Drosophila melanogaster: one gene and its partner. The protein of the gene in region 2 purifies or fractionates together with the protein of the main gene of each other region. This does not show direct contact. Each region holds a gene or a part of one and is shown on either strand. Other genes may lie near its edges.

Evidence for each region. The genes of interacting proteins can lie anywhere in the genome.
Region 1: the proteins of CG5819 (region 2) and CG1504 purify together in Drosophila melanogaster (affinity purification with western blotting; one large-scale study listed by BioGRID). This does not show direct contact.

What each region holds. Positions count from the first base shown.
Region 1 is NC_004354.4:20,327,031-20,333,026, forward strand, and holds the start of CG1504 (uncharacterized protein), read right to left. Parts: upstream 3,343-5,996; 5' UTR 3,088-3,342; intron 2,513-3,087; exon of another isoform or gene 2,133-2,512; intron 1,651-2,132; exon of another isoform or gene 1,185-1,650; coding exon of another isoform or gene 748-1,184; intron 689-747; coding exon of another isoform or gene 574-688; exon of another isoform or gene 414-573; intron 1-413. Other genes in the region: CG1631 (uncharacterized protein), read left to right, coding at 574-688, 748-1,184.
Region 2 is NT_033778.4:22,291,295-22,297,942, forward strand, and holds CG5819 (uncharacterized protein), read left to right. Parts: upstream 1-2,105; 5' UTR 2,106-2,142; exon of another isoform or gene 2,143-2,630; 5' UTR 2,631-2,632; coding exon 2,633-3,900; intron 3,901-3,962; coding exon 3,963-4,179; intron 4,180-4,238; coding exon 4,239-4,501; intron 4,502-4,558; coding exon 4,559-5,558; 3' UTR 5,559-5,661; downstream 5,662-6,648.

The sequences.
Region 1 (5,996 bases), on a different chromosome or scaffold from region 2:
AGCCCCGGCCATGGAAATAAAATTTCAAATGTAACTTTGCTGCGGTAGCCAGTTCATGTACGCGTTCTCGTACGAATGTGTGTGTATGTGTGCGGCTATGGGAGTCCTGTGTCCTTTCGGCAACCAGTGTGCATGTGGAGCGCGGCCTGCGGCCTGTGACGATGCCGCAGTTAGCCCGGTCTCCAACTACGGCTCCATCTTGGCCCTGTCTCCGTGGCCTTTTCCGTTTCGAAGACCTCTCTCTCTCTCTCTCTCTGCCTTCGCCTTTAAGGGCATTGCAGTTGGCATAAAATTTAATTCGCCGTCCTGGAAGGAAGCGCCCAGGACATTACGTGCTGGCAGTGTCGCTTCCTGCACCCATCTCGAATCTATAGTCCAAGCCCCGAAACCCAAAACTAATCCCAGTAGCATTTGCCGGGCAAAACATTTCCAGCACGCATGGAAACAAGTTTAGAATCAGAATCACATCACACCAGGAGACAGCCAGACAGTCAGACAGTCAGACAGTCTGAAACTAAGAGATACAGCACATGGACGTACAGATATAGGAGCCGGGATTAGACACAATCGAACATGGCCAGCGACCCTGCCAATTCCAGAGACCAGATCAACATAAACGCGGACGTTTCGGATATTTCCACTAGCGAGAGTGAGCTAACCAGCGACGACTATACTAGCGATAGCGAAGGTGATTACCAATCTAGAAAAATGTGTTTCCACTAATAGCGAACCGCACATCCGATCCAGATGAGAGCTGCACAGTGGCCGATCCCGACACCAGTCCGCAGACGAGCATGTACAGTCTGCTGTCGGCAGAATCAGACAGCGACTTGGAGGAGGAGCAGGAGAATTTCTGCGAAGAGACTATTTCGCTGCTTGCCCACGAGATCCTCTGCTGTGAGGGCGACAGTGAGGGCTCAGAGGTAGAGTCCGACGGCGAGGACATCGACGAGGCCAGGGAATACGATATGTTTGGAGAATCCTCAGAGTTTGGGCTTCCTACATACCGGCTCATGCTGAGCGACGAGGACGAAGATAATTCGAATGAGGTCGAAGTGGTAGGCAGTAATCCGTTCGTTGGCGAGACAATCTTCCTGCTAGAAAAGGATAAGGATCAACAGAGCGAGGAGAAGTCCGAGTCAAAGGAGGAAGAAAAAATCTTCCAAATGGAGCTTTTTGAGTAGGGCTGGGGTTGGTTGAATCGGCATCTCTGCAGGCGGTTTTTTTTTGGTTTTTACAGATATTCACATTCGATGATCATGGATCTAATATTTATGGAGGGCAAGATATGAGATGGATCCTTACCAGCAAACTCAATTTTCAGGATAAGGCTTAGAGTAATTAGAAACGTACTATCCGAGTATATTTCTTTTTTAGCCAGATATCAACATTTATGTATTCGCGCAAATTAACATACATACATTGTTTTATGCATTAGGTGTACAAATGTCCCGAAGCGGCAAAAGTGTGACTCCCTCAGGGAACAGACAATCCTGGCTTTTTGTGCGAGTCAACAGCATCCATAGATAGCAGTATACAGGACGCAGTTAATGGCGACAGATAATGAGTGGAACACACTGCTGATCCCAAGACTACAAACTTTATAAATTTGTCAAATTGTTTACAATAGAGTAAATTGATCGATACCATAGGCCTTACTTATTATTTGAAACTTTTATGATGTATTTTTATACTACTAATGACAGTTTAAAGTAGCACAATCTTTGAAGAGTTTTAATGAGCTTTTATTGGCTTTGAAAATTGTTATAGCAGATGGCTGCCATTTTTCTCGAATTAAATATTCATGCTTAAAACGTCTGAGCATTATAATTACTTTCAGTTTTGACCCAATTAGGATACTAGTTAAAGAAAAGGTAAAAGAAAATCGACCTCATTTTTGGAAAAACGTGTTTATAGTGTTTATAAACGTAATTTATAGTAACAGTAGTTATAGGTACCAAGAAAGTCGGTTTATTTTTATAAATGACATCGCTTGGAAACCCCATAGGATCACTTATATTTCTATTTTATTCTTGCCTCAGTTTGTTTTCGGGAATGGGCCTCCCACATGGCATCAGCCTGTGCGATCAGGCTAGCATCCCTTTAGGATCCCTTTTCACATTGTCACTCACCTGTTCACGCTCAAAGTGGCTGGATGGTCGCTCAGGACACCTGAGGGAGACTGGGCTGGTGTTGGCGCTGATGCTGATGGCGATGGTGATGGCGATGGTGATGGCAACTGTGACTGCGAGTGGGACAGTGACTTTAGCAAAATGCTGACAGGCGACGGCAACAGGCGGGCTGAACTGCAACTGCCTTTCCCTTGGCAGCTGGCATTTAGTATTTAATATTTTGCCTCTGGTTATGCCTCGGTTATCCCTCGGTTATCCCTCGGTTATCCCTCGGTTAGTCCTTCAGCTAGTCCCTCAGCGCCTCAGCCCCTCACTTTTGCCATTTGAATGGAGCTGGTCTTTAATTGCAAACTGGCAGCGGCAATTGCTGGCAACTAAAACTAAAAAGGACGACAAAGGATGAGAAAGCGAAATGCGAATGCGAATGGCAAAATGAAATACAACATCAGGCGGAAAGCGAATATGCACTTTGCAGTTTGCAGTCTGCTCCTGCTTGCTCCTGCTACTGCTGCTGCTCTTGATGATTATGATGATTCCTATTTCCATTCGCATTCGCATTCGCATTCCCATCCCATTTCCACTCCGCCTCCTTTCAATTCGACTGCACTTATCGTAATCGGCGTTTCGGTGTTGGCTTTCAAATTGCCCGCGACCACGTCAAAGCGACCACAAAACTAGCTGAACGGACAACCGTTGACCATCCAACTTCCAACATCGACCATCCGCCACCGTCCACCTTCCACCAACAGCAGGCAATCGAGGACCGCAGGTCAGGTTTTAGCCAGTTATCAGCCGGGCTTAGTTTGGTTTTGGTTTGGGCTCGGTTGGGTTTGCTTTGGTTTGGATTGGAGGTTTGGATGGTTCGGCTTGCGGCTCAGTTTGAGGAGTAGTTTAAAGCGCAACTGGCAACTGTTGCGGGGGCCCCAGCCAAACAAAAACCAACGAAATCACTCACCTCGCACTCAAAACAACACACACGTGATTTCCCGGACCAATAAAACAAAAAAAAAAAAACCGAAACACAGCTGGACAGAACAGAGTGATGACAAAAAAGATGTCAGTTGGGGATGTCACACACCAGCCGCTGAACAGCTGAACTCTAAACTATGAACTGCGGGTCGCGTCAAGTTAGGACTTGTCGAGATTTGGCGAGAGATTTGCGGGCCACGCACGTATCCGCATCCGCATCCGGTACCCGGTACTGATGTCAACAAGCTACCACACGCAACTAATTCAAAAAATCCAGCGAACGGATTACGGCGCCACTGTCCGCATTGCCAGCCGAAGCCGAAGGCGTCACCAATCGGGTAGCTCGGCGCTAGCCGAGTCCGTATCCGAAGTAGCCTCGTTGTCCTCTCGTGACCGCTCGGCTCAGGCAATCGTTTGACGTCGGTGGCGTTCGGCTGGAACCGGCTGGAGCAGTGGTCCGCAGTCGTTGGTCGCCAGCGGAGTGGTTCGCATGTGGCCCGGCTGTAAGTGGCACAGGATTATGGATGAGACCCCGCGTCCTGGCGGGATTCTCTTTTCGTCCTGCCAGCGGGCATTAACGTGCTGTGCGCTTTATTTAAAAAAGCAGCTTAACCTGCTTTTGTGACCTTTTCCCTTTTGGCCAACACGTGGCCAACGGCTTCACCAGCAATCGCCTCACATTTGTCCACCTCCAACGCCGGCGATGGATAGACTGCGTCCTCATCCTGGACCACGCCATGCGTGTTGATAAATGGGTTTTTATTTTGATTTTATTCACTGTTTGCCTTGTTTTTGCATATTCATTGACGGGGCTTCGACTCCGATTCCGATTGCGATTCGATTCGAATTCCCGTCCGTCCACCTGCTCCTGCTTCTGCCTCTGCTCTGCTTCTGATCCCCATGCGAGGATGGCTGGTGTGTCCGGCGTCGAGTGCAAATCCTCTGCCACCTATTGCCTTCGGGTCGTGTCTGTGCTGAAATGGTTTTCAATTTATTAGCAATCAGTGGCATTAACAGCCGAATGCGATGCTGTTGCTCCCCAGCGGATATGGCCACTAGGATTATGGCGGGGTCAGTCAGATAGGAAGCCAGTTGTCACTGATCATCAGCAGGGTATTGGTACTGCGAAGGCGTGCGCGATGAGTTTGTGAAATCAGTATATGTTCAGTAGTGTTATCGAGATCACCTAAGGCATTATTGGCTATTTCAATTCAAGGTTCATTGAGTAGCTATACAAATTCTTACTTGTCTTGAACTAAAGTTCGGCAGTTGTATCATACTTTAAAAGTTAGATTGATATCATTTTGTTATACATAAAGCTTTCCGAAATGTAAGCTGAAGGAAATGTTAAATTTAGAGCTTGATAGTTGAACATACTATCTATATATATATATAGATAGAACTATACTATACTATATTTGAAATGCGCACTCGTTTGTACTACCATTTGTACCAGCATTATATAGGAATAATTCTATGTTTGAGATGGAATTTGTCAGCTTGAAAATCAAATGTGATTGATAGCTTTGAAATTTTCAAGCTATGATATGTAGAAGGAGATGGGTAGATACGCAGTCTTGTGCCGAAGAATTGATTCTATTTTGATAGATAATTAATTAATTTCAAGTTTGTTTTTGTCTAAATGGAATGTTAGGCAAATATATTTCTTCCTCAGAAGGTTATTAACCCTTACCCCAACTCTAATCATATTTTAATCTGTGAAAGTGGTATCGCACACATATGGAAATGAGTCCACATGTGTGGTAAGTATCCTGCGTCGTGCCACTGATTGAACTGCTGACCCCCTAACCTTCAGCCCGTGTCATACGTGGCATATATGCCCCATATGCTGCCCCAACTGACATGCCATTGTACTTCGATTCGGTTTGGGGTGCCCTCAAGATCGGTTTTGCATTTATGCGGAGTGGAAATTCCCAGCGAGGAGCCAGGACCAGCGGCCCAGTGTGCGGCCTAATGCGCTCAACCCGGAACCGCAGGGGCGGCAAATTGGTCAAGTCGGTTGCTGGCCACGTAGCCAGTGTCTTGCGGCTGCAATTCCCGTTACCAATCCAATGCCAATGGCAATGGATATGTAGATGCAGATGTAGATGTAGATGTGGATGTGGAGGTTGCAAATGGCAGGAAATGCGTGATAACGACCGGCAGCACACATGGAAAATATTGAAAATTTGAATGAGGGACACGGACACGAGTCCGCTCAGTCGATTCTCGAGATGGAAGTGAATGCAGGACGCGGGGCAAAGCCATATGCCATATCCTGGCCCTGACTGCGATGTCTTTGTTGCTGTCGATGAGGATGTGGAAGTGTGGATGTTGTGAAAGTGTCGACACCAGTCCCGGCCAGGCCAAACACATGGCAAATGGCACATGGCAGACGCTTCTCGTCCAGTGTCCTGCCCCAGCCACGCCCACAGCCCCATCGGCTTTCCCGCAGAAGCTTCCCTGTTTGTGTCGCCGCCTAGTGTAAAGGAACGAGCATAAAGAACCGCAAAATCATGAAATGCAATAATGAAGGCTTCATGGTCGATCGCTCAAACACTACTCGCTCACACCCGTTGCGATATAGTCACACACAAAGAGGAGGGCAGGACGAAAATCGAAGGCTGCAGGTCCTCGTTGCCGAGGATGGGGCTGATGCTGATGCATAGGCAGCAAACCCAGCAAGCCTGTGGATAAGGGGCCACCAGGCAAGACTTGCAATCGACACGACTGTCAATGCACTCGAAAAAAACGCATATGCTTAGAGTGAGCCCAGGTGTTTGAGAGTTTGTCATAGGTAATCTTTAGCCACCATATAAAAATAAACAATGTAATCAATAAGAAATACAATGAAGAATTTAGAGACTAATTATCATATGCCCCAATGACGAGTGC
Region 2 (6,648 bases):
CCACATTTCGCTGATGACTCCGATTAGAAGAGTCGTAATGGCAGGGATATCTTTATGACATCTGCGGAAATGCTAAGCTAGCAAGCTAGCAGGATGTCTATGTCCATTTCCCATTCGCCAGGACTTCCGGCCATCCTGGCTCCACCTGAATTCGCATTTCACTTTATCAGCTCCTCACTTCTTGGTGCCTCCGGCAGATGGACAGTTGGGCGTTCGAGTGGGTGGTGTGCTTATCTCACGACACCGCAGCTGTCATTCAACTTAACTTTTGCTTTGACTGCACTGCGGGTGGCAGACGCCGGCATACCGATGCCAACTTCCCTGCGCCTCGACTTAACGCTCCGAAAATAAATAAAAAGCACTTCATTTCTTATTAAAAAATCGCTGGAAACTGCCCAATAAAATGTAGCGAAGGCGGCGAGCGCTCTAAGTCAGCCCAGATTAGACGGGAGAAATTCAAAATCAAAATCAATCCATTAACAAAAGCACACAAAGGACCAAGTCCTTGGACCGTGCGGCATTAACTTGTGATTTCAACTGCGCGAGTTCCCAACGCCGGCGATGACTTTGCATCGCAGCGTCCGCTAATTATCCCATGGCAAGTGGGCCGGCAGGACGGGGGAGGGCGAGGGGGAAGGCGGTCCAGGACAAAAGGCGTCTCGGCAACAAAGCCGTTGCGCTTCATTAAAACGGCAAGGACACGCGAAAAGTGAGTGCCTGAGCGGCGCTGCGCATCCCTGCTCATTATCCCATGCACTTATCCGTGGCAACCGAATTTAAATATCTGGCCCACAATCGTTTCCAATCGAGAGCAGTTTGAGAAACCCCATGAGGGAGGGGAGGGGTTCGGGGTCGTATCCTGACGAGCTTATCAGTCGCGGCATTACGCTGACTTCTGCATTCTCCTTGGATGTCTTTGTTGGCCGCTGCTCCTGAACTACACCCAACCCCCGGAGCGGGGCATCAACTTATAGCTATTTGTATCGTCGCTAACCATTTAAAATCGTTTGCGTTTAATACCCTCAGATTCTTTGGATGCTTGTATTCAATTGGAATATCAAATCTTCAAAATAAAAAGGTTTTTGTCCAAGACACAAGTTTATATAAATGGTATTAATAGAGTTTTGATTACTAACTTACCAGGTTTTTCGAAGCAAAATTACTGTTCCATACTTTTTGATACGTTTGAGGATCTCTTAATGTTGTTCTAAATTTGGAAATTAAATTTTCCATCAAAGAGTACATTAAATTCGTGTTTTGCTCTTAGCTATTTCTGAGATTCGAATGTTTCCTGTTGCCTTAGCGCTTTTCACCGTAATCAAGCCACAAATATGTTGCTGTCAACACGTCAGTGGTGGAAGTCCTGCTTTTTTATTTGCTCCCTGGGAATGAAAGTGGCAATGGGAATGGGAATGGGAACGGGAACGGGAATGGGTTCGTCTTACTTTTCATTTCGCACTGCATCTTTATCGCGCTGTCGTCTGAGGCGTCGTTTCTGTTTTGCTCACGCTTCATTACAATAAATCCGGTTACGGGTGTCTGCAGGACCCAACTGCACAGAATCCTCCGAAGGGAATGGGTAATTTTAATGCCCTATCAGCGGCTGCCGGAGACGAAAAAGGAGTCGTCTGGCTGTTGTCCCGGATTCTCCATCTGAACGGTTGCACTTCGCCGGGTGACAAGTTTATTCAGTCTTAAACGACTCCATTTGTTGCCATCTCATAAGACTCACGGTTGATTTGTTGACATATGCTGGAAAAGTACTTAGCAAATTTTAAAAATCAATTTAAAGTAAAAGCAAGTAAAAGGATACAAACACGCTATTCAATAGTTTAGCTCAAAGTTAATAAAATCGTTAGTAAGTAACCATTTCGATGGCAACACTAGACCAGAACATGATTTGCTACCAGAATACTCGCGAATTCCGTTAAAATCGGTAAAAATTCAGGTGACACTTACGGTTTGAATACCCGCTAAAGAGTTCTTGCATTTTCCGACAACCGTAACCCAGACAATCGATCCGGGAATGCTCACTATTCGCACACGTTGCCACACTGTTGAATTGCTCCAAGCAAACGGCTTTCTTATCAGCGGCTTATCTTATCAGTCGGAAACCCGTTGAACGATGCCAGCGACCAGCAGGTGAGTAATTTTCCTCGGCCTGGCAGTATTAGACCTGCAGTTGCGCGGAAAACTTCTTGAAAACGCCAAAAAAAATTGCACTGGAATTCCGAAAATATTTAACCACAAAGTGAAAAATGCTGAGGGCGTGGCTGCATCGGAGTGGCAGTTAAATTCTAAAATCGGATATTAAAGTTCTCCGTCAGTTTCGTGTGTTTTTTTTTGGCTTTTTATCCCGGTTTTCTGGCTTTTCTGTTTGGGTGCTCTAGTTTTGTGGTAGATAAGATAAGCGAAGTGCAGCGCGCAGGGGAAATACGAGCCATAATAAATCAACAGGTGAATAAGAACGGCCTAGTTGTGACGTCACTAACGCCTTGAAATCGTCGCAATTTTAAATTGCGTTTAAGCAAAAGCAAAAAGCAAGTGAAAAAACGTTGATAAGGGTCTAATGAAAATGCATGCGCAATAAAACGGAAGCACACCACCAGTAACAACCATCTATATTGCAGAGATGAGGATCGTTTTGGAGCTTGCACTTCTGGTCTTGGGGGTCATCTCCTCATGCCGGGCAGTCAACTGTCCTTGGCCCTGTCGTTGCACGTGGGTGGTGGACAGCTTGTACGCAGATTGTTCCAGGAGGAGTCTGCAGACATATCCGAACTTCGACGGCATTCCCGTGGAGCATTTGGATCTGTCGGGAAATAAGTTCTTGGAGTTTCCAACCCTATATGCGGACATAGACTCCTTGATATACTTGGATTTGTCCAGCAATTATATCTCAAGCATTGGTGCAAAGACTCTGATTGGATTCACATCTCTGAGGACTCTGCTGCTGGCCAACAACTCCATAGATTCCTGGGAGTCACTCAGTCCCAATGAGGCATTCAAATATGCTCCAAGCCTGAAGCGTTTGGGTCTCGATGGCAATCGATTGGGCAGTTTTGGCAACGGAGAGAGCTTCGAACTGCTGACCAGTTCATCCCTGACCGATTTGGGGCTTTCTTCCTGCGGAATTTCCAGCATCGGTGGAGATCAGATGGTTAATCAGCTGCCAAATCTGGAACGTCTTAATCTGGCCAACAATCAATTGGCTCAAATAGCGGCATTACCTTCGCGAACCCTGAGGGTTCTCGATCTGAGTAACTGCAGCATTAAGAATTTGTCCGGATTCTTTTTGGACGCCATGCAAAATCTGGAGGCCCTAAACTTGTCCCGGAATACGGAACTCCAGTTTGACAGCCTGTCAGAAGATCCCATTCTGACCTATATGCTGCGAAAGTTGGATGTTTCCTATTGCAACTTGGATTCTATAGAACTGAGTGGATTGCCACAACTCACTGAGGTGCGATTGCAGGGAAATCTTCTGAGAGTAGTGGATGTCAATACATTTGCCAACAACTCCATGCTGGAGGTGGTTGATCTTTCACAGAATGTGTTGCGACACATTGGCCAAGATGCCTTTGCCAAGTTGAAGCGCCTAAAGGAGCTGAACTTGGCTTTCAATGAAATAGCCAGACTGGACAGAAATTTCATACGCAACAATGACGTGCTGGTTGAGCTCAATCTCAGTAGAAATGTGCTGCAGAAGTTGACGAAAATCGTGTCCAATTCGGTGCGCACCATAAACATGAGTTGGTGTGAAATCACCTCTATTGAAAGCACTGCACTCTCGAGTCTTTCGGTCATTCAAAAGTTGGACTTATCCAACAATCTTATCACTGATATGCCCACCTTTATGAGATCGGAAACCCTACAGCAACTAAACCTAGCCAACTGCAGGTGAGCATTAAGCAAATAACAGTCGACTAGTATAATAGTGGGTAATGATATTATTTCTTCAGGCTGACTACTGTAAGGAACAACACCTTCAGAGAGTTCCCCGAACTGGCGGATCTACATCTGAATGGCAACCGTTTAACGAGTCCCATTCCGCCCAATTATTTCGACGGCAATAAGTTCTTGGATCAGCTGTGGTTGGGCGATAATCCCTGGATTTGTGACTGCCACAGTCCGCTCTTCGTTGATTTCTACGACTATCTAACAGCAAAGCCAGCTAAGGTTCGCATCTTTCCTAAGCGAATGGATTACAAATAATGACTTTCATTTCACTTCTATAGATAAAAGATAGAAATCACTTGCGTTGCGCTGCGCCAGCCGTTTTCTATGGAAAGCTTTGGGAGTTTGCCTGTGCGGATGTGTGGATTTTGAATGCCAGGACGAGCAGTACTGGCGAGAAGGCTTGGTCCATCATAATGCTGACTCTCCTCGGATTGGGTGCTCTGGTTTTGGGCTATGCCTGTCTGCAAAAGTATCTGAGAAAGCGAAAAGTCCGGCAGAGCGACAGGGAGTACGAGGAGAATGATGATGAGCTACGACGCATGTGAGTAGTATATCTTATTCCATAAAATAGAATTCTAATCAGCATTTTGATACATAGACGAGATCTCAACGAACGTATTTTGAGGGAGGAGGCTACGCCGAGCCTGCAACATACCCAGGAGATCAGCCTGCTGCCCTCCTACGAAGATGCCCTGCGCATGCCGAAACTAGTCAGGCCAGTGAAGTCAATGATGGATCTCTCGGGACCAGAAAGAGCCCGCAACTCACGGAAGCTCAGACGATCGCAGACCCATGCCGATGGTGATGGATCCCAGTCGGAGGCGGAGGACGGACTGCAACTGGACTCTCGCCAGCGATTCCGCAGCGTGGAGATGCTCTCGAACCGGGACAAGGAAAGAACCGCCCAATACGGACCGTACAGACGCACTGGTTACATGGAGTACAATCAGTCGGGCAGTCGACGCTTTAGCATCGAGGACTCCCGATTCCCCGCCGCCCACTTGAAGACCCAAAATCTTCAGAGTGCTGAACAGATCGGAAACTTCCAGAGTTATGAGAACAGTCCCTACACAAAGCGCAAGCCAAAGATCGCCGAGATTCCGCCCTTCAAGAGGGTGAATATGATGGCCGACAGCGTGGAGTTCCTCACTGATCCAGAGTATGACGAAGTGGGCAGCAAACACGGAAGCCCGTTTGCGAAAAGGAAGCCAAAGCCACCAGTTCTTCCACCTCCCACTATGAAAGTGAGTGCCCAGGTCTACACACTGCAGCAGAGTCCGGTTTTGGAACTGGATCCCGCCATCGAGGACTACTTCAGTGCGGCCAGGAAGCAGCCCTCTTCGTCCACCATTGCCAGCGACTTCCAGGAGCTGGATGAGCCCGAACTGAAGTCCTTGCCGGACGATAATCGATCAAGTACGATCTCCCGATCGGACGTGGAGCAGGATTTGGAGCGGGGAAAGCGCAAGAAGCGCAAGAATTCGACTAGTCGTCGGGTGAGCGGTAGCTTCACGGCAGCAAATGCCGCCGAAAGTTCCTCCAGCGACTCCGAGCTCAATGCCCTGGTTCACAAGCCCATGAGGGAGACATTGTTTTAGGCCACATAGCACATACCATATTGTTATACATTCCCAACATGTTAGACTTCGCATAATATTATTTAAAAGCACCTTGAAATACACAATAACATTTTCTTCAAAGTAAGTACTTACCAACAAAAAAAATTCATTTTTAGCCGTTTTGTGGGAAAGGTATTTTTTGCATACTCGAATTGGCACTGAAGGTCCTTCCTGACCAAGTTTTTCCCCAAAAAAAGGCGAAAATATCGATATTTTTTATCAAAATCCCAAATGTAGCGTCTCATTAAACTTACAATCACATTTATAATCAATTAGAATCCACCACTGACAATTTAATTTTTGTTTCGATTTTTGCCAAATTTTAATGAGTAACCCCTTATAAAAAATGTGAAAATTGGTAAAAAAACTGATGTTGGCAGATCGGGCCCAGAGTGATGGGGATCGTTAGGTAGGATCATTAGTTGCATAAAACTGTTATTTCTATGGGTGTGTGACACTTTTTGACCACGTTATGATAAATAACCTGATTTTCCACTCAAAAAAAAACATTATTTTAGCCAAAAATATAATTTTTTTGTCGAAAAAATTTCAATTTTTTTCGATTTTTGCCAAATTTTAATGATGTAACCCCTTATAAAAAAGGCGAAAATTGGTAAAAAACTGATGTTGGCAGATCGGGCCCAGAGTGATGGGGATCGTTAGGTATGATCATTAGTTGCATAAAACTGTAATTTCTATGGGTGTGTGACACTTTTTGACCAAGTTATGATTATAAACATTTTTGATAAAATCGATTTTTTGGCCTATTTTGTTATCATAATGATTTCATAACCATTTGTTAAACTAAAACCATTACTAATACAAACTAATGCTAATCGATTAGCATTCACGACGTAAAACTTAAATATTTATAAATTTAAAGCATAATGATGCATAATTTTGTATAACTGAAAATCTTGTAAAACAAGATTTAATGGCGAATTCCGGCCCGAAAATTTGAGTTTGAAAATATTTTGCACATTGAGTAAGAAATATTGACCTGAGTGAAAGCTCGATCACCCATAAATAAGCAACATAAACTTTTAAGCTCCAAAATGGTTCGAAACAT